Callithrix jacchus: one gene and its partners. The protein of the gene in region 2 interacts with the protein of the main gene of each other region in a pairwise test. Links are inferred from orthologs where the notes say so. Each region holds a gene or a part of one and is shown on either strand. Other genes may lie near its edges.

Evidence for each region. The genes of interacting proteins can lie anywhere in the genome.
Region 1: the proteins of TRIM42 (region 2) and YWHAQ interact in binary tests that used the Homo sapiens proteins (3 or more experiments, as listed by UniProt). The two-hybrid records come from large-scale screens. The link is inferred for Callithrix jacchus from reciprocal best matches to the Homo sapiens genes TRIM42 and YWHAQ.
Region 3: the proteins of TRIM42 (region 2) and KCTD9 interact in binary tests that used the Homo sapiens proteins (3 or more experiments, as listed by UniProt). The two-hybrid records come from large-scale screens. The link is inferred for Callithrix jacchus from reciprocal best matches to the Homo sapiens genes TRIM42 and KCTD9.
Region 4: the proteins of TRIM42 (region 2) and KLHL38 interact in binary tests that used the Homo sapiens proteins (3 or more experiments, as listed by UniProt). The two-hybrid records come from large-scale screens. The link is inferred for Callithrix jacchus from reciprocal best matches to the Homo sapiens genes TRIM42 and KLHL38.

What each region holds. Positions count from the first base shown.
Region 1 is NC_133515.1:105,386,201-105,391,647, forward strand, and holds part of YWHAQ (14-3-3 protein theta), read left to right. Parts: intron 1-4,287; coding exon 4,288-4,411; intron 4,412-5,447. UniProt on the Homo sapiens protein: Adapter protein implicated in the regulation of a large spectrum of both general and specialized signaling pathways. Binds to a large number of partners, usually by recognition of a phosphoserine or phosphothreonine motif.
Region 2 is NC_133518.1:43,743,879-43,749,798, forward strand, and holds the start of TRIM42 (tripartite motif-containing protein 42), read right to left. Parts: upstream 3,870-5,920; 5' UTR 3,704-3,869; coding exon 3,363-3,703; intron 1-3,362.
Region 3 is NC_133514.1:16,081,174-16,086,620, reverse strand, and holds part of KCTD9 (BTB/POZ domain-containing protein KCTD9), read right to left. Parts: intron 3,954-5,447; coding exon 3,848-3,953; intron 3,142-3,847; coding exon 3,008-3,141; intron 1-3,007. UniProt on the Homo sapiens protein: Substrate-specific adapter of a BCR (BTB-CUL3-RBX1) E3 ubiquitin-protein ligase complex, which mediates the ubiquitination of target proteins, leading to their degradation by the proteasome.
Region 4 is NC_133517.1:73,744,175-73,749,621, reverse strand, and holds the end of KLHL38 (kelch-like protein 38), read right to left. Parts: intron 3,810-5,447; coding exon 3,704-3,809; intron 2,836-3,703; coding exon 2,546-2,835; 3' UTR 1,365-2,545; downstream 1-1,364.

The sequences.
Region 1 (5,447 bases), on a different chromosome or scaffold from region 2:
GGGAGCTCCCTGCTTAATTGATAAGAGTAATGTACAGAAGAAATTAGTGGGGGAACTTTTAACTATACTCCCTCCTGATGACTTTTTTTGTGGGGGGCGGGGGGGAACGGAGTTTTGCACTTGTTGTCCAGGAGTGCAGTGGCGTGATCTGGGCTCATTGCAACCTCTGCCTCCCAGGTTCAAGCAATTCTTCTGCGTCAGCCTCCCAAGTAGCTGAGATTATCAGCGTGCGCCACCACGCCCCGCTAGTTTTGTGTTTTTAGTAGAAATTGTGTTTCACCTTGTTGTTCAGGGTGGTCTCGAACTTCTGACCTCAAGTGATCCACCCACCTGGGCCTCCCAAAGTGCTGGGGATTACAGACTCGAGCCACCGCTCTTGGCTCTCCCTCCTGACTTCTTACCAGATACCAGTACCCTTATTTGGAAAGACTTTCAGGGAGCTGTGTCAGTTTGGGGGTTTTGGTCTCTAATCTGTGTTTTCACAGTAATTTTAAAAATCTTACACATTTATGGCCTATATTCTATCTGATATTAATAATATTTGGTATTGATAATACAAATAGAGCCTTGATTATTTGGGTAAGACATGAAGCGGAATCCATTATGTCTTCTAGCTGGGCTAAAGTATACATCTTTACTACTGATAGTATATGGAAAGACAGAATTACTCTGTACCTGTTGTTTCCTTCACAGAGAGCTAGTGGCATCTGATGAACAACCATGATACCTGGCTGAAACTCCAGGGTGGAAGTAATGCCCAAGTCCCTTTATAAAAGCCCACCACTATAAATCCTACATAATGGCTGTATGCAAACTAGTAGTCAAAGTCAATCATTTTAGAAAGGAAAGGTTTTGGTTAGCTCCTAAGTGGCTGTGTTTGTAATGAATGCAGTAGCTGTTTGGCAGCTTTCTGAATCTTTGGAAGGCCCTTGGTCCATAAGTCCTTGTGAACACCCACACATCTAGCATGAGAGACTAGTGCTAGAATGGAAATTTCTCTGTTCCCTACTCCTCACCCTAAGCCCATGTTCTAGTCCGACTTCTCTCAGCCCCTGCTCTTACATATCTACCACATTTAACAGAGCACTAGATGAGTAGCTTACCAGAGCTGGCACCTTTTCGGAGATCCTCTGGAATTTCATTGTAACTGACTGATTCACTTGGAGGAACAAGAAAAGTGAGAGGCATCTTATTTTACATTAGAGTTCCTTGGTGTGGGTACAGGCAGAGGTGGTATTTCTCTCAGTATGAGTACTGTGTTTGCCTTCTTTGATAGTACTTCTCAGAATCCGTTCATTTAAAGATAGCAGTGACTCAGTCAGTTTGAGATGTAGAACTTTTTTGTGACTTTCTCGCCATTGCCTCCTGTTCCCTCCCTCTACCACCACCCTAATTCAGTTCATAAAAATAGTTTTTAAATTGAAAGTCATCCATAATATGTAAAAATGGTAATAGAGAAAAATATTAAAGTAATATATTTTTAAGATTTGAGTGTCGCAATTTTTTTTTTCCTTGAGACAGAATCTTGTTCTGTCACCCAGACTGGAGTGCAGTGATGGGATCTCTGCTCACTGCAACCTCTGGCCTCCTGGGTTCAAGCAGTTCCCTGCCTCAGCCTCCCAAGTACCTGGGGATTACAGGTGCCCGCCACCACGCCCAGCTAATTTTTTTTGTATTTTTAGTAGAGATGGGGTTTTACCATCTAGGCCAGGCTAGTCTTGAACTCTGACCTCGTGATCCATCCCCCTTAGCCTCCCAAAGTGCTGAGATTACAGGCATGAGCTACTGCGCCCGGCCTCAGTTTATTAAATAACTATTAAAATTATATTGGTGATGTTGAGCACAATACTTAACATCTGATTTGTCTTTTTTTTTTTTTTTTTTAGTTAAGAGTGTAGTGATGCTGGAGCATCACTTGTCACATCTTGACATCACTTGTCATACACTTGTCACAGTTGCCTTTAGTTTGGGTATGCCCTTAATGACCTCTGTTGCCACACTCCTGTCTCAGCAACTTTCCAACTTGAGCCACAATTTTGATACTCATTACTTTTATAATGTATAAACTTCTAGGACTTCAACACTTAATTTTATACTAAGAGTGTGTGTGTGTGTGTGTGTGTGTGTGTGTGTAACTTCCTCTGGCCTCAGGCCTTTAAATACATTAAAATAATTAATTTAAAATCTTTTTTAAATTAAAGGATTTTAATTATTTTCCTGTTTTTTGTTTGTTTGTTTGTTTTTGTTTTTTTCTTTTTAGAGACAGGATTTCTTTCGCTATCTCTCCCAGACTGGAATGCAGTAGCACGATCATGGCTTACTGAACCCTCTACCCCCTGGGCTTAAGCCATCCTTCTGCCTTAGCCTCTCAAGTTACTGGGATTGCAAGTGTGTGCCACCACACCCGGCTAATTTTTTTAAATTCTTTGTAGAGACCGGGTCCCATTATGTTGCCCAGGCTAGTCTCAAAATTCTGGGCTCTCAAGCAATCCTCTTGCCTCCACCTCACTTCCCAGAGTGCTGGGATTATAGACATGAACCATCACACTTGGCCTCTGTTTATTTTCTTTAAAAATAACGTATGGGCCAGAAGCAGTGACTCATGCCTGTATTCCCAGCACTTTGGGAGGCTGAGGTGGGCAGGTAACCTGAGGTCAGGAGATGAGACCAGCCTGGTCAACATAGTGAAACCCCGTCTCTACTAAAACTACAAAAATTAGCTGGGTGTGGCAGTGTGCACCTGTAGTCCTAGCTGTTCAGGAGGCTGAGGCAGGAGAATTGCTTGAGCCCTGGAGGTGGAGGTTGCAGTGAACCAAGAACACACCACTGCACTCTAGCCTGGGCAACAGAGTAAGACTTTATCTCAAAAAAGAAAAAAAGAAAAGAAATATGTGGATGCAGTGATTGCATTTTGTTAAACCACTTCTAAACAGATAAACAACAAGAGAGTTATTGGTTAGAACTGTGTTTTCTAAACATTTGTATTTTAAATCTATAAACAGCCTTATTTTTCTTTAGCATTTATGTGAATTTGAATCAGTCTTGTTGGTATCATAGATGGTATTTTTATATAATATTAATTGATTGTATTTGTGGTTATTTTTCCAAAATGTAAAAAGGATTCTTTCTCTTCCTTGCTTTAAAATGTTCACTAGTTTCACTTTTCCTGGAGCAGTACTTTTCAAACTGTGTACCTAGGTTGATACTAGCTAACATTTACTGAGCACTTAATATGTCACACTATTCCAGACTTTGACATCTGTTACTGGTTTTATTCTCAAAACAAACCAATGATGAAGTAGGTATTAGTATCTTAACATTTATATGAGAATTTCATTCTGCTTTGTAATATTTAATATAAAAAGGTTTCTAAATGAATGACCTAGCATCAAGAAAAATTGAATCTAAGATTTCTATTATATTTGTTTTTTGTGACTTTTTATACTCCAAGGCATACCCTGTACGTCTAGAAGTGAGAATTTCTTTGTATGAAATTAACAATAAAAGACATACTCCAGAATTCTAAGTTTGTTTTAAAATTACATTTAGTAGACCTAAAATTATTTTATTTGCTGTGCAAGTTTTTAAACCTCTTACTCTCAATTCCTGTATTTGCCTTGCTTTAGATGGACACTTGCCTGCAGTGGGCACTGAGTAGCACTGTTCTCCCACGTACTTGATGTCTTAAACATTGTCTTTCCCTTCCCTAAAATGAGTGCACATCCTTGTTTTCTGCTTGTTGCTTTTCTACTTTTCCTTCTTGACACTTCAAATACTCTTTCCCTGGGAAGCCTGTCTAACTGGAGGCCATCTCCAGCAGAGCCATGTACTCCCTCGCTGTGCTTCCATAGCACTGTATTCACCTTCTCTCTTAATGCTTGGTGTGTAGTTGGTATGCTTTACAGACTCTGAGCTTCTTGAGGGCAGAGACCTGATTTTAAGTCTTCTCTATATCTATTATAGTCAAATACTTGGCACCTAGCGGTGTGAGTAAATGTTTGTTGAATGAATAGATGAGAGAACAGACAGTGTCTTTCAAATTACAATGTGTGGTGTAATCTAGTATTACCATTAGAAATTATAGGCTACATCATCATTTAAAGCCTCCCAGGGCGACAACCTAACCCCTGCCCTAAGAACATGCTTCAAGTCCAGGCTGATATGGTATAGTATTACTGTAGTAGTTAATGATTGAAATGCCCGACAAGCAGAAGTTTGATCATTTAATGATAATGTGCAGCAGGCAGAAGTTCAGTGCCTAATGTTCCCGTGTCTTATTTATTTCAGGAGTTGCTGGATAAATACTTAATAGCCAATGCAACTAATCCAGAGAGTAAGGTCTTCTATCTGAAAATGAAGGGTGATTACTTCCGGTACCTTGCTGAAGTTGCATGTGGTGATGATCGAAAACGTAAGTATATTTGTTATATGGGCAAAACTAAAGTACAAAAAAAGGGGACAAACAGGTCACTGTGACAATATATGTAGCCTCCAGGCTCTTTGTGATGTAAAAATAATTGAACATACATCAAGAAAATTAGTATTATCTTACATTCTCAAAAATGAAAATTGGGTCATAAATTTACATCATGTGCCCTTTAAAAGAAAGACTCATCTATGAACTTTAGTTATAATTGCACATGGTATTACTTAAAACAGGCATAATCTTTCATGCTTTAGAATTTTGGTTCACTGTGCTCTTTCCACCATCTTTCCGCGCCACCACAGTGGTCCACATAAATGTCCTGGCTGATGCTCTCGAGCATCAACGATGCCGAAAAGAGGCAAACACCAGGTGCTTATTAGGCCATGCTCCAAAGTCATCATCTGGTTTCTCATTGTGATGATGAAGCATGGTTACATTGGCAAATTTGAAATCATTGATGATCACAGAGCTGGGAAAATTGTTGTGAACCTCACAGGCAGGCTAAAGAAGTCTGGAGTGATCAGCCCTAGATTTGATGTGCAACTCAAAGGTCTAGAAAAATGGCAGAATTTACTTTATCCTGCCAGTTTGGTTTCGTTTTTAGCTCCAGAGATTTTTGCGCAAACTTTATGAGTCATTCTGCATTTCACATGGCCTTTTTGTCATTATGCCTTAAAATGCAGATAACTGAAATTACTCATAGAACATGGAATCAGGATGTTGTGCCTTTTCTGTTTGTCATATTAATTCATTATCATCTATTTTAAGGGGTCATAACATTGACTGCTAATTACATGTAATCAAATTTCTGAGGAGGAGAGGTGAGATGAATATGTTATTGCTGGTATATTATTGCTGGTATATTGCTGGTTTATTGCTTCACAGTAAATTTGAATGACCCATATGGTTAGGTTTTACTTGAGAAAGTTGAATACACAGGAATTGATGATTAATCAAGTAGTAGTCATAAAAATAGATTTCAGTATTAAATGTCTATTTTGTTTTTACCTAGACTATCATA
Region 2 (5,920 bases):
ATTTTGATGGATCAAAGAGCAGAGACAAGACCACTTCTTAATGTTTGGACTCAGACAAGAACATTGTCTACATCATAAAAGCAATCCAATGTCCCTCTATCCTGGTTGGTTTTTTTTTTAACCAAAAATCCTGGTTGATTTTTTTTAAAACAACTTTCGAGTCACTCTGTTCTTCCCACCTTCTGGATAAGATTTATTAAGATGTTCAATAGATTTACCCCTGGGTCCTTACCTAACATGAGCACAAATCCTGTAATAACTTTTCCAGGTACCTTACCCTTACTCATGCTTTATGTTCTCATTTGCTGCAATCAGTCAGTCAATCCAATCTTGTCTAACTACAGGCGTGTTCTTAGTGGTTTTTTTCCTGGAGGATATTGACATTTATGTACATAGATGGAACATAGAGCAAGTCTGTACCTGAGACAAGCCTAGAACCTGTGTGATCTGTCAACCAGACCAATAGGTAATGGTATTGGATCTCGGCTTCAGAGGCAGAATGCATGAGCTAGAATGCACCACTTTACAGCTGGACCTCTGAGATGTTTTCTTAAACCTCTCTCATGTTCAGTTTTCTCAACTATATATCAAAGCTCACAGTACGACTTGCTTTGTGAGGTTTTTATGAAGTCTAAATGAGACAATGCATGATAAGTGCTTAACTGCTGGCACATAGTAAGCTTTCAGTAAATGTGGCCACTATAATTACTCCCCTTTGCTACTAGCCAGCTACGGTCTGCAGTAGAGAGAAATCACAGTAAAGGAAAATAGTGGCCAAGTCTGTGAAAAGTATGTGTCTACTGTTTCATTTGTGTGTGTTAAGGCTCTCCATTTGTCTAACGCCTGAGGATGATTTCATATATTGTAAGAACTATGGATGGAGTAAAAGTATACTTGTAAAATTGAAGGGCGTGTTCTAAGAACTTACAGTTGGCAAATGCAGTGTATAAAAACGAATTATTTGTGGGGATGCAGGTATAAATAGGCACACAATTTGCCACTGTTGCTATCTCCTCTGTTTGGATAATATTTGGGTAGTAATCTTGCCATTGTGGCTGTGTTCCTTTCTGCTTTTGTTGTCTTGCATTCCTTATGTGTCCCTCTCTTCTTCCCCCCTCCCTTGGCCAGGGACCTATGTCTGAGTCCACAGTCACAGATACTTCCCAAGCATATTGGAATGGAGTGGCCATGTGGCGACAGAGAATGCTCCCTGTGTAGACTAAGGCACCTGAAAAATTTGTCCTTTAGGGATCTGGGAGCTCTAGGCATGCTGGCCTCAATGTTCTCAGTTCTGTTTCCTCTCTGCTTTCCCAGACTCCTGCTTGTGTCCCGAAGGGATCACCTGGAGGTACAGGTCTTTAGTTTGCTAAAAAAAAAAAAGGCCTTGAGAATCAAGGTATAATATAAAGAGGCTGTTGTGAGTCCTTCACAGGTGGTACTCCTACTAGGAAGCTCATGAGCTAGAATTTTCATAAATAAGAAGTAGGGAGGGAGATGTTGGAGGACGAGAAAGAGGGCTCAGGGCTAAGAGACAGGTATTAATGGCCTAGGGAGCTGTGGTAGAGGTGAAAAAGAGTAAGGTAGAGAGGGATGAATGAGACCAGAGTGAGGCAGAACAAGCAAGGTGCTGAGCAGAAAGTGGTGATGAGAAGCAGAGGAGGCCAAGAGTCAGAAGCCAGAAGAGAGGCCAGATTGAAGACAAGCACCCAGAGCCAACCTCCTGACACATGCGTTAGCATCCCTGCGCATCCTCCACAAACCTCAGGCTTGGTCAGGGCATTCAGTGGCCATGGTTCCATTCCAAAGCAGCATCAAGACCAGTGCTTTATCTTCTTGCTGAGATAGCCTGCCTCTGCTCCTCTGCACAGCCTCCCCTCTCTCCCAAAATCAGGCCTGTTCTTGCACCTGGATTCTTACTGTATCACCTGTCAAATCTCCTGGCTTCCCACCTTTGCACCTGCAGGCCATTCTGCACATTAGAATCACCTGAAGGGGCGATGCTCATTAATTCAGATGCTCAGGTGGTACCCCAGACCAATACAATCAGAATGTTTCTGGGGTGGATATCGGGCATCAGTAATTTTTAAAGATCCCCAAGTGACTTCAATGCACAATAACGTTAGGGAGCAACTGATGCCTGAGGCATTTTCCTAAAGACCAATTTTATCTTTTTCCTGTTGAAATGGGCTCAGAGGCTCAGTTGCTGTTGCACAGAGAATTAGGTAGTTGAGAGAGGAATGTGGACACTATTTCCCACACTTTAGTATTTCTAGACTTGGACTGAGAATCCCTGGATTTCCTATTTATGCAGATACTATGAGAGGGCCATAGGTGGAGAGTTATGGGTGTTAAGGAGCTACTAAAGATTTAATGGCAAGATGGATAATATCTTTCCCCTAAGTTCACTAAACTTCTGCTTGCAGAATTGCTTTTCCAGGCTTGAAAGCTTTCAAACTGGCCTGCCATTTTTCTGCTTCTTCTAATCCTGTCATCTTATAGTGCTGTCATCTTTTCTAAGAAGTGTGCTCTTAGTACTTCAGACTCCCCTCATGTGTGACATAAAAAGGCTTGTTTGGCAGAGCAGGTGAGGATAATGTAAGACCTGATATGGAGGATTAGTACTCCAAATGAATAATTGAGACCCCAAGTTCCGTGACTTCTGGATGAGAAAAAGAGAAGGCAGTTGGAGTTCCTGGATGTCTGGGGTACTTAAATGGCTCTCAGGGTCAAAAGTGCCCCATAGAAGGTCTTACTTTTCCAATAAATGTTGCAGGTATTTAGAGTTAATAGGAAGAAAATGAGCACTTTTTATTTTTCTATAACATGCAGATTATAAAGAATATACATTAATTCTTATATCTACAATATCATGGGGGTGGGGGGGTCTTGTCTCTGTTTTGCAATACAGCATTCTAGAGTTAAGATCACAAATTTTAGGTTCCAATTCTGACTCTGAATCTTTCCAGCTGTGTCATCCTGGGGCAACTTCTTCTCAAAGTTTCCTTTGAGAAGGAAACTTCTCAAATGCTCAGTTTCCTCATGAGAACAGTGGACTTTGGGTTATGCATGAAATGCCTGGAAAATTGTGTAAACACCAAGTATTAGCTATTACTATTTTGTACAGATGAGAGAGGGTTCAGAAGAGTGAAGTGCTCTAGTCGATGATGCTTAGATTGGAGCTCATGGTCTACATACATAGTGACCATATATGATACAGTTAATTGCTACAAAATTCTTGGCTCCTTTTTTTTAGATAAATAAACACAGAGGGGCACTGGCCTGCCCTGTGGACTTCACAGCTAGCAAGGGGTCCCTAGTTTTCCTGAGCCAATGTGGCTGCACATCTGGTGCCTGGCACTTACAAGGTATGGATGCTCTTGAGGCGGCCCTTGTGGAAAGTCACGGTGATATTACGGCAGCAGCGGCTCTCATAGTAGTAGCACTTGACGTTGCTGCTGGCTGTGCAGCAGCACTTACAGTTGGGATCATTGGCCCAAGAACAGCAACACCAATGGCAGTTGGGGTTCTCAGCACAGGTACAGTGGCAGAACTGGCAGTTCTGCTCATCTTTGTAAGGGCAGGGGAAGCAGGTGCAGTTCCGCTCTGAGGTAAAGATGAACTTGCAGCATAGACAGGAGCATAACCGAGGACAACATCGCTGCCATGTACAACATGGACAGCAAACACACATAGCAGTTTCCATGGTGCCTACATGATTAACACTGCCCCGCTAGGATTTTTGATGCCCCCTCTACCAGAATACTGCTATCAGTTCTCCAGTAGAGGAGTCTCTCCTCCCCCTTGTGAGGCCGTCAGCTTGGGAGTTGCAAGAAGTTGGCTGTTATGAGGCGTTCACTGTTGGTGTCCCTACCAGGAAGCTCATAGGCTGGCATTTACATATATCAGCCTGAGGGTATTTGCTTATGTCACAATCCCTCTCTCTCTACCATGCTGGGTGGGTAGGAGGATGCGGCCTTGTGGGTGTAGCAGGTATGTTGATGGGCTCTCCATGCTTCCATGGAACCAGCTGTAGAGGAGTGGTGATGCAGTGAGCCTTCCGGAAGTTCAGTTGTCATTTGTCAGCTTTTGGAAAATGGAGATTTCGGAAGCTGTTTCTCCTTGTTTGGTGTTCTGCCTGCAATTTGGGCAAGTTGACTTCATATTATGTCTTCATAGACTGAAAGGCTTGGGTACAAAGTAGAATAACATGGTTTTCTTCATGTTAGAGGAACTGATAGAATTCTATTTGAACAAAGGAATTATATATCCCCCAGATAATAGCAATGCGATATTTAAAGAGATATCACCATTAGGAGAGAGTTAAAAAACACATAGATTCACTTTAGGGACTTCTTTCAGTAGTAATTGATTTTATCAATCAATGCATAGTCACTGCTCATTTTCATGAAGCTTTATACATAAGCCAATCTGAATATTTCTTGGCTTTTTGTAGCTTCATGGTGTTTGGGTGAGGCTCAAGCTTGCTCACTTTTCCCCCACCCTATTCCCACCCCACTACATGCCTTTTAAAAAGAGACTGGAACTCTACATGAAATCTTTCACTGTTCTGCTAGTATATGCTCAGGATCCTTAGAAACAAGACCCTATATTTTACAGAAAAATTTCACTTTCCAATTTATGCAGCTTGCGAAGATTAAAGGAACAGAAATTTCATGGTCATAGTACGTTATAGTGTGAACATTTTCTTATTTTTGTAAAAAGCAGAAGAGCTGAATTTGGCTGCAGGAATTAAGTGCATAATTTATTATCTCTCCTTATGGTTATCACCTCTATAATAGGAAAGAACATCACTGAGTGCCAACTATGCCAGCCACACATTGATATTAGAGTTCCAACAGTGAAAATCCTGGATCACAGAATATGTGCTTGATCTTTTTTTGATACAAACTGCCAAATTTCTTAAATAAATGTGCCAGTTAATACCAGCAAGTAATGTAAGATGTTCAAAAAAGTGAAACACCTTTTCCCTCCATGTTTGCCAAAACTGTTTCATTAATATTTCTCCCCATCCTCCAGGCACATAGGTTGGAGTTTCACTCCCAGATTTATGATACATTTTTACTATTGGTTTCTGTAAGGTCTTGTTAAAAACTTACTAATATGTAATTCACTTACCATTCAGTTCACCATTTTAAAGTAAATGGTTTTCAGTATATTCATAAAATTGTGCAACTATCACGATTATCTAGTTCCAAAATATTTTCTTCACCCCCAAAAAACACTCATAAGCAGCCTCTCTCTGTTCCTGCCTTCCCCCAGCCCTTAGCAAATACTCTACTTTTCTGTGTTTATGGATTTGTCTGTTCTGGAGATTTCATATAAATGCTATCATGTAATACATGGCTTTTGTGTCTGCCTTTAATTTAGCATAATATTTTCAAGGTTTATCCATGTTATAGCATGTATCAGTATTTTTTATGGCTGAATAATTTCACATGAATATACTACATTTTATACATGATCAGTTAATGGACGTTTAGATTGTTTTCACCTTGTAGCTGTTAAATGTTTAAATGCTTCTGTGAGTATTTGTGTACAGGTTTTTGTAGAAACATATGTTTCCATTTCTTTTGGATAGGTACCTAGGTATGGAATTACTGGATCATACAGTAACCCTATGTTTCATTTTTGAGGAAATGCCAAAGTGTTTTTCAAAGTGACTGCACAATTTTACACTCCCACCAGCGATGTGTGAGGATTACTATTTCTCCACATCTTTTCCCAAACTTCTGTCTTTTTTTTCTTCTGATTATCGCCATTATAGTAGGTATAAAGTGGGATCTCATTGTGGATTTACATTTGGATTTTCCTGGTGGCTATGATATTGAGAATCTTTTTATGTCCTTGTAGGCCATTTGTATGTCTTCTTTTTTTTTTGAGACGGAGTTTTGCTCTTGTT
Region 3 (5,447 bases), on a different chromosome or scaffold from region 2:
ACAAAGGTTAACAAGGAAGCATGTTACTTATGCTTGCATATTTTCTAATGAGATATTGAAAACAGGGGTCCCCAACCCCTGGGCCACACACCCATACAGGTCCATGGCCTATTAAGAATCAGGCCACATAGCAAGGAGGTCAGCAGTAGATGAAGCTTCATTTATACTTAAAGCCACTCCCCTTTTGGCTCAAGTTGAAGCCTGAGCTCCACCTCCTGTTGGATGATCAAGGCATTAATTAAATTTGCATAGGAGAGTGAACCCTGTTGTGAACTGTGCATGCCAGGGATCTAGGCTGCACACTCCTTATGAGAATCTAATGTCTGATGATCTGTCACTATCCATCACCCCCAGATGGGACTGTCTAGTTGCAAGAAAACAAGCTCAAGGCTCCCACTAATTCTACATTATGGTGAGTTATATAATTATTTCATTATGTATTACAATGTAATACTAGTAGAAATAAAGTGCACAATAAATGTAATGCACCTGAATCATTCCGAAACTACTCCCCCACCCTGGTCTGTGGAAAAACTGTCTTCCACGAAACTGGTCCCTGGTGCCAAAAAGGTTGGGGACCATTGATTTAAATAACAGAATGGGGGGCCGGGTGCGGTGGCTCAAGCCTGTAATCTTCCCTCACTTTGGGAAGCTGAGGCGGGTGGATCACGAGGTCAAAAGATCGAGACGATCCAGGTCAACATGGTGAAACTCAGTCTCTACTAAAGATACAAAAAATTAGCTGGGCATGGTGGTGCGTGCCTGTAATCCCAGCTACTCAGGAGGCTGAGACAGGAGAATTGCCTGAACCCAGGAGGCGGAGGTTGTGGTGAGCCAAGATCGCACCATTGCACTCCAGTCTGGGTAACGAGCAAAACTCCGTCTCAAAAAAAAAAAAAAAATACAGAATGGATTCTAACATAGTAACACACACACACACACACACACACACACAATTTCTTTTTTTAGAGGAGTTTCATTCTTGTTGCCCAGGCTGGTATGCAGTGGCACAATCTTGGCTCACTGCAGCCTCCACCTCTCAGGACAAGCAATTTTCCTGCCTCAGCCTCCTGAGTAAGCTGGGATTACAGGTGCTCGCCACCACGCCTGACTAATATTTTGTATTTTTAGTAGAGACAAAATTTCACCATGCTGGACAGGCTGGTCTCACACTCCTGACCTCAAGTGATCTGCCCTCCTTGGCCTCCCAAAGTGCTGAGACTACAGGTGTGAGCCACTGCACCCGGCCCCAAGGTAATAAAGATTATCGAAATAATTTTACTGTGATCCAAGAACAACAACAGCAACAACAAAGGCATGAGATGGGATTTTACTTAATCAAATTGCATAACAGATTTTTCCATTCCCTAGACCTAGTATTTTCATAGCAAGGAACTACCCTTCTTTTTAAAGCCCCATATAATACAATGAGTTTTGGTAGATGTACAGAGTAGTGTAACTACCACAGTTTGAAGCTGTTTTTTAATTTCTTTTTGAGATGGAATTTTGCTCTTGTTGCCAGGATGGAGTGCAATGGTGCTACCTCGGTTCAATGAAACCTCCTCCTTCCAGGTTCAATAGATTCTCCTGCCTCAGCCTGCAGAGTAGATGGGATTACAGGCATGTGCCACCAGGCCCCGATAAATTTTTGTATTTTTAGTAGAGACGGGGGTTTCACCATGTTGGTCAGGCTGGTCTCGAACTCCCAACCTCAGGTGATCTGCCCGCCTCCTAAAGTGCTGGGATTACAGGCGTGAGCCACTGTGCCCAGCTCTTAATTTCTCTTGAGATCACAGACTGATAGATAAGATAGAGATTCTAGTTAAGTCCCTGGATATGATAGGGGGAGAATGGTTAGAGAGAAGGGTGACTAAACATAACCTGTTAGGAGAACAGATATCAGCAGCTCTCCCCTCAATAGTCAGTCTTATCAGTCTTTGCAATCAGACAGAGGGAGGTTTTTGCTGCTAAGCCACACTGACTACACAGTAACTAAAACCTAGGAAAAAAAATATAATCTTAGATGGAAGTAATGTAACAAACAATAAATAATTGTGCTTGTGATAGGATTATAATCTTGGGTCAATTCTTTTTGCCTTCAAGTTGAAAGAGGCCTGCTCCTCTGCTACTGAGAGCTATCAAGAGATCTAGGCAAAAGCATTAAGAAAAAAAATTAACAGCAAGCTAAAATTTGAAACCCTGTTCTCTGCAATGCAATTTATGCCGGATTTCATAGCTACCAGCCACATGTGGCTACTTAAATTTAAATGAATTACAATTAAATAAAATTTAAAAATAAATTTCTCATCTACACTAGCCACATCTCAAGTGCTCAACAGCTATCTATGGCTAGTAGCTACTATACTGAACAGCACAGATATAGAACGTGTCCCTCCTGCACTAAGTGCTACTGGATGGTGCTGGTGTAGACCTATCAACAGCTATCAAGTCTGGTAGCTAAACTGAGAGATTAAGAAGACATACAAATACAATTCTTATGAAAAAGATGAGTTGGCAAAATTATAGTCTCAAGCTGAAAACCAAAAAACATACGGCTCCAATGTTAAATAGACTTTTCCTGGACCTGATTTCAAACCTGGGTATCATTTAAATTTCTTAGGTAGTTTAAGAAGTAATCTAGCCCATTTAATTCTGTTCAGAATTATTTTTTATGGAAAATGCAATATATTAGATTAATAATGCATCTATCAAACTTATTTACTTAAGAAAAACTCAGGAAAAGGAGAGAAATTAAATCAACTTAGACTGAATGTCAGGTGAGTCTTCCAATCCACAAGTGGCATCTATGACTTAGGTAAGTGAATCTTGCTCTGGAATTCTTATTTGTGTAAACACACAAATCAAAGGAAAATATCCCTCCAGTTGTGTTGGCATGTTACCTGGCAGTTTTACCAGCCAACTACTTTGTTTTGATTTCAATAAATTTTGCATGAAATACTTATTAAGTCTAGAGTAATAAAAACTCTTAAAATGTTGGTGAACTCACCTCTAAATCAGTTCCTGCCAGTGTTGCTCCTCTGAGGTTACAGTTCTTCAATTTTGCATTTTTTAAGGTAGCCACTCTCAGGTTAATTCCTGTCATCTGACTTCCTTCCATATCCACACCTTTCAGATTAGCACCTACAGTGAACACATTCTGGGAGTAGCTTAACTTAAAAATATAGTTATCCACTTCAATAAAACTGCAAGATGACTTAATGGGGTGAATAATGACAGCCTCCTTTAACTTTTGGAAATGAATCTAAAATCTTGTCTCTCAACAAACATATATATAAAGAGTTCACTGATGAAAGAATGCTTTCATCAGTACTTTTAAAGGAAGAAACTTCGTTCTGTTTTATGATAGTTAACACTTTCATACTGTGCCTCTACAGGTTTATGATGAGGGAGTTAAGTAGTCTCCTAAAACATACAAGTAAACAAAGTGGTCAGTCACAGATATAACAAAACAATAACAAACTAAGAAACAATATATTAAATCTAAAAACGATTTTTTAAAACTCCCTGGCTTTATGCATAAGAAATTTTTCCTTTTGGCCAGTATAAGAACATTATATTACATTTGAAAGTTTAAGATGTTGATATTTAATTTTCCAACTAAAATCTTAATTTTCGAGGCTTTATTTCTTCTAAGTCCTCAGTTTAGATTAGCATTTGATTGAGAAAAAAAGAAGGTATCTACTTCTTTGGAAGTTCTCCAAATATGATGACAGAAGAAACATATCCCCTATTGCTATCCTGTTTCACCCATAACAATTACTTTCCAGGGCTTTTTCCTTTATGGTCTGCTTTCTCCATAAATAGCTATTTACAGATAGGATCTCACCTTCTAAATTGGCTTTAAGACCAGAAGGATCCTCAAAATTACACAGTTTCAGGGATGCTCCTTCTGCATTAGAACAGAGCATTTTGACTCCCTGGAGATTTGCACACTGCAAAGAAAAAAGAAAAGTCCTGGTTATGAGGTTCATAATTTTGTTCAAATTAGCTCAAACAGTAAAAGAAAAAAATAGAAAAAGGGAAAGGGCTCGACTCAATACACTCATAATTATTTTGTTTACAATAAAGGCTTTTCTAATTAAACCCAGTAAGAACTGGAAACATTAAAAAAAAATTTTTAAACAACTGTTTTTTAAAAAGCAAATGCAAATTAACAACAGCATGTTCATTTTACATGAAACATAATGGTTTAGATAAAAAAGTTGGGAGAGTCAGAACTATGACATCTCTATCTCTATTTTTATAAACACTCCTATGCATGTCAATGAAACAGTCAAAATGTATGAGTAAGGAAGGCATAAACTTGTTAGGGATGTGAATTTTCTCTTATTACTGTAGGAATCTTGATGTTCTAAGTGAAATTCTTGATATCCAAAGATGATCCTACTGCCTTCAACTCAGAAGTCAGAATACAAATGCCAGCATTTAAAGACATTATTTAGCTACAAAACACTAACAGAATGCTTGTTGGGTCTTTCTGCACCAGCCATTGCAACATTATCAACCCTGAGCAGCCAAATCACAATGCATAATGCAGAACAGAGAGTAAAATGGCAGAAAATATATGTTTTAAGAGTTTATTTTTTTGTTTTGATTTGTTCTGTTGAGACAAAGTCTCACTCCGTCACCCATTATGGAGTGCAGTGGTGCTATCTCGGCTCACTGCAACTCCACCTCCCAAGTTGAAGTGGTTCTCGTGCCTCAGCCTTGCGAGTAGCTGGGATTACAGGTGTGCACTACCATGCCTGGTGTATTGTAAAATACAATAATTATATAGTATTTTTAGCAGAGACAGGGTTTCACCATGTTGGCCAGGCTGGTCTTGAACTCCTAACCTCAAGTCATCTGTCTGCCTTAGCCTCCCAAAGTGCTGGGATTATAGGCGTGAGCCACCGCACCCAGCCAAGAGTTTTAAATTATGTTCACTTATCTCAAAAGAGTTTTTGACAAAAATCTTTTTCTTTGTCCTTAACATAAATGAAGCTGCCTCTATTTAAAGACTAGGTCCTTCAAACTTTTTTTTTGATGATGTTAATCTTTTTCCTATTTTGCTACCAACCTGACTCTTCATGATAAGACAGAATAAGGACAGTGAAAATACCTAAATTTGTATTTGGTAGTTTTTGTTACTAGCTCTGATAGAAAGCCTCATGGAGAAATAAGCTGCAGCTAATGAGTAAACCCAAATTATAATAATTCAATAAATGACTGCCAAAGTAAGATGCTATTAATTCAAAAGACATACAGACATGGGCCTTGGTGGTAAGGAACTTACAGTTGTTAAAAGTTAATAGATTTCATTGTTGGTCTGCATATATCCTCTAACTTCAAATAAACACAGATAATTGTTATAAATACATACATATGTATATATATATGGTATGTATATATATGTATATATATAAATACGTATATATGTAGAGAGA
Region 4 (5,447 bases), on a different chromosome or scaffold from region 2:
GTTCTGAAGGCTGTCCAAGAAGCTTGGCACCAGCATCTGCTTTTGGTGAGGGCATCAGGCTGCTTCCACTCATGGCGGAAGGGAAAGGAGAGTTTTTCATGCTGCTGTTAAAGACACACCCAAGACTTGGTAATTTATAAAGAAAAAGAGGTTTAGTAGACTCACAGTTCCATGTGGGGGCTGGGGAGGCCTCACAATCAGGACGGAAGACTGACAGGCACGTCTTACATGGTGACAGACAAGGAAGAGTGAGAGCCAAGTGCAAAGGGAAACGCTTTATAAAACTATCAGAGCTCATGAGACTTACTATGTTCAGAACAGTATGAGGGAAACCAACCCATGATCCAATTATTTCCCACCAGGTTCCTCTCACAACACATGGGAATTATGGGAGCTACAATTCAAGATGAGATTTGGGTGGGGACACAGCCAAACCATATTAGAGAGCCAGATTTCACATGAGAGGGAGCAAGAGAGAGGGGAGGGGTGCCATGCCCTTTTAAACAATCAGCTCTCCTGTGATTTAACAGAGGTGGGACTGAAAGCCTGAAGAGAGGGAGTTCAAAGACACTAGGTTAGAACAAGATGCCAGCCAGCAGCTATGGGGACAGTGTTCAGGCTGAGGAGCAGGGCTGGCAATCCAGGCAGGGGGTCTCTCTGACCTCAGCCAAGTGATCTGGGGAGCAGAGCAGAGCTTCAGACCCTAGCAGGAGAATCCGAAGTACACAAAAGACAACTTAGAATGAAGGAAAAGTCTAGAACATCAACCTGGAGAGCCAGATGGGGAGGAAGGCCACAGCTTGGAGTAAACTCTGGTGCCAGGCCCAGGGCAGCAAGACTGATTGCAGAATTGATGGGGAGAGGACTTAGCCTACATCACTGGGCTTGGACAGGCTAGCCCAGGACAGGAGGGGAATGGAACAAGCCATGGAGGTCTTCCATGCCCACAGCTGGGCAGGGCAGTGGTTCTCGACCCTGACTACACATTTCAGTCATCTGGGAAGCTTTTCAAAAAATACAGTGTCTGGCCCCCCCCCCAACCCCGCAAAGCATCCCTGGTCATTTTTCTCAAATGGGGCTGGCCCCGTTTTCAGATGACGGTGTTATGCAGGCAGTGCCGAGAAGCGCTGTTCTCTACTTCGGCTGATTCCTGAGTTTGGGACTGAGCCAGTGTGGGAGGCACCTCCAGATAACGGGGGCTATAGAGATAGTCAGCCTTGGCATCTGAGGGCAATGACTGCTGTAAGCACTGAGAGAATTTGTTGACTTTCCCCAGAAGAACAATCCTTATAACACTGACCGAAATGAACATCCTGATTAATTATGCAGGTTTATAGCTCCCCAGAGGCTGCAGAAAAACATCATTTGGCACCAGAAACAAACTTTATTCTGGCAGTGCAGAATAATTTTACAAACATTAGATACTGAATTGTGCAGACGTCTCTGGAATTTCGATGTACTACATCCATATAATGCAGAAAAACAAGGTCAGGGCCAATTTCTCATGTTGCCACCTGGACCAAGCATGTCCAGGAATCCTCTGGGGTCTCAGCCCTCTTGTTCCAGATTTCAGTGGTGTCCTGGGCAGATGTGGTTTTTGTCTAGATTTCTCCCTTTGGGGAAATGCTTTGAATCCATCACATACAGTTTGGAATGGCTGTCAATCACAACAGGTAACCCCACCTCTGTCTGTGGGGATATGGTCCAGGACTAGCCAGTCCTGGCAACAGTGATTGGCTCAACGGGTAGGCATGGAATTCAAGAAAGGCCCATAAGCATTGTTCTTTAGGTTTAATATATGGGTAATGGCAAAGTTGTCTCCTGAAGATGTAAAGCTAGAAAATGAGTCTGGGTTTATCAGTTGCCATTGTCCCCATACTGTGTGGGTAAATAAAGAAGCTTGCTGGAGAAGGAAGCCTAATAGAGATGAGGTAGAAAGAGAGGAAAATCTCGGGAGGAGAGAGAGGAAGAGAGAGGGGAGACTGAGAGAGAGAGAGAGAGAGGGAGGGAGAGAGAGAGAGAGAGAGAGAGAGAAACAGAGAGGGGGATACAGAGACAGACTCAGAGAGAAGAGAGACAGAGAAACTGAGACAGAAAGGAGACATGCCAGGCATGGTGGCTCACACCTGTAATCCCAGTACTTGGGAGGCCGAGGAGTGAGAATCTCTCGAACCTGGAAGGTGGGGGTTGCAGTGAGCTGAGATCGCATTACTGCACTCCAGCCTGGGCTACAGAGTGAAACTTCATCTCAAAAAAAAAAAAAAAAAAAAAAAAGACAGAGATGGGGTGAGGAGAGAGCGAGAGAATGGGGAGACACAGAGACTGATAAAGGAGACAGATGGAGGTCGGGGAGAGAGACAGCGAGAGAGGGAGGGAAGGAGAGAGAGGGTTCTGGCAATGCTATGCCAAGTTCCAGGCCTCCTGACTGGTACCTCAGGCTTGTGAGCTCTCCCTGCAGCCTCTTAGGGTTAAGCCCTTTGGAGCTGGGTTTGTATCCCTTGCAACAAAAGGCATCTTGAGTAGGACAGCAGGTTTCTTCCTGACCTCATGGGAGGGCAGATGTGCAGGGTATGCACTGGAGAGTGAGGCAGGCGTGGTCAAAGAGCTTGTGCGGCAGCTGCCCCTGGGATGTCCAGGTGTCCGTCTCAGGGTCATAGCAGTCAAATGAGGCGGAGTCCTCAATGTTGCAGTCCGTGGTCAGGCGCCGCCCGCCCGTCACATAGAGCTTGTTTCCCATCACCGTGGCCCCGTGGTGCATCCTCCGGTCTTTCATGTCCGCACATTTTACAAATTTGTTGGTTTGAGGGTCATAAGCAAGAATCCTCCTTGTGTAACCTGAAAACCAAACGACACATGGTCAGGCTCAGCCTTGCTCATCTGGGACTGGAGGGGTCCTGGGACACGTCTGACCCCTGCCACTGCCTAAGGCTGAGGCCGGGGCTCTGAACTAGAGCATGGGGTGTAGAGCTGGCCTGCCAAGGCCTGCTTTGTGGCAGAGTGGGACTGGCACACAGATCTGTCTGATTCTGACCTTCACCCCAAGTTAAGGCAGCGCATAAGCCATTCTTAGATTGGGAGCAGCTTCCTGATTCCTGTAACTTTCTCAGCCTGGCAACTTCCTCTCTCAAATGCCCACTCAAGAACTATGACAATCCCAAGCCTTTGGAAACTCAGAAGTGGGTTCCCCACAACAACCTTATCTGGTAGGTACTTTTAGGAGCCTCATTTTATGGATGAGCAAACTGAGGCACAGAAGATGTTTAACTTGCTAACGAGTATATAGCCAGTTAGTGACAGAGCCAGGATCTGAACCCGGTCTATCTGACCCCAATACCAGTCTTCTTAACGATGACACTATCCTATGATTACAGAGAAACAAACCATTAGTAGCTGGTATTATTAACGGAAGCAAACATGTTTTATTTACTGTGTGTCTGGGATAGAGCTAAGGGCTTTAGATACACAAGTACATTAATCATCACAACAGCTCTGTGTGATAGGTATTATTTCATCTGTTGTTTACAGATAAAGACAGAAACTTCTGGATGAGGAAAAAGTTTTGTCAGATTCTCCACGCTTCTCTGGTTGGTTGGATGTGCTTTTAAAGACAATCTTGTAGAATAACATCTGTCTATGAGTGACCTTTTTTCCATAGACGGTGCCAAGTTTGTGTCACACCCAGCGATCCCCTGTTCAGACTCACCTCCCACAATGACAATCCGCTCCCCAAGCACCACTGCAGGGGCACACACGTTCTTGATCATTCTTGTCTCCATTTTGAACCATGAGTTTCTGGAAATGTGATAGACCTGAGGGAGAAATAGAATCATGGCACTGCATTTTAAAGTTAAATATTCTTTAAAAAAAAGGCAGAAGTAATCATTAAGAGGGTGAACTAGGAGTGAGATTTTTCTTTCTACTTTTCTCCAGTTTTAAAAACGTAGCTAGATTATTGGTAATAAACAAAATAGAATTGAAAAACCGGGAGATGTGTATTATTAAAAATTGATCTTAATGTGACCCCAGGAGATCAGTGGTTGTATTTCTATAGAATAGACCAAGAGTTTGGCGTTATAATAAATGTTTTACTTACCTTGCTTGGAGCATGTTTTTCTTTTAATGAGAAATGAAGAAACTTGGGTATTCAGAAAACCCATGATTTTCCAATCATTTTTTATTTCTAGCTCATGTTTAAATTTCTAAATGTTCTGGTTTATCCAAGAAGCTCATAGAGCCAAGAATAAATCTGAGGCTAAGTGAGGAAGGCTTTTGAACAGTTCATGCCTGAAAGTCATTACAGTCCTAGAAAAATGCAGCATGAGAAAGGGGAGAAAGACCAAAGAGAAGGAAGCAGGCTGTTTTACCATGCTCTGAAACGGTGGATCAAATCAACATTCCTGAAACATGTTCTCCTGTTAGTGTCCTCAGTTTAAATCTAAATATCAAATGTAAATTAGTTCATTATGGGCAAAATTGAGCTCAAGAGATATAGAATGAATTTCATATAAGAAAAGAAGGAACAAGAACATTTGTTTACAGAGGAAAAAAGGCGTAGTATTCTTGGCTAGAAAATATTTTCCTATAAAATAAAATTACCAGGGCAGGCACAGTGGCTCACACTTTTAACCCAGCACTTTGGGAGGTTGAGATGGATGGATCATGGAGGTTAGGAGATTGAGACCAGTCTGGCCAACATGGTAAAACTCCATCTCTACTAAAAATACAAAAAAATTAGCTGGGTGTGGTGGTGCGTGCCTGTAATTACAGCTACTCAGGAGGCTGAGGTGGGAGGATCCCTTGAGCCCTGGAAGTGGAGGTTGCAGTGAGTTGAGATCACACCACTGCACTCCAGCCTGAACGACAGAACGAGACTCCTTCTCAAAAGATAATAAAATAAAATAAGATTACCAGTATTATTAAAAATGTTTAAAAAATCAGATTACTAAATTTGATCTTCAAAACCATCCTATGAGGTAGGTATTATTATTGCTTCCATCTTTCAGATTAGACCACTGAGGCTCAGAGAGGTCAAATGACATGCCCAGGGTCATACAACTGCAGTGAGTTGGGGAGCTGGTCTGGTCAAGGCCAGAGTCCATGCTCTTAACCACCACAGTCATGGCTCTGCCTGGAGCCATGAAATTGTGGCTTTTCCTGATGGAAGCTTTTGAGATTGGAGACCTCTTGAGGTCTCTGTCTGTCCTTCAAGAAGTCAGCAAAGACTGGGGGAGGCCAAGTACTAGAGGAAGGGAAGGTCACAATGGCTGTTTTATCTGAAAATACGTAAGTGACAAACTCTCTAAGATCCTTGGAAGGAAAGCAAACACTGGTTGCATTTTACTTGAATGAATAATCGCCTCCTGGCCCTTCTGTTTTTCAGCTTTGGGTATGGCTTTAAAAATAGATTACACATTTTTTCATCATGCTCATCATTCCCCAAAGAAGCT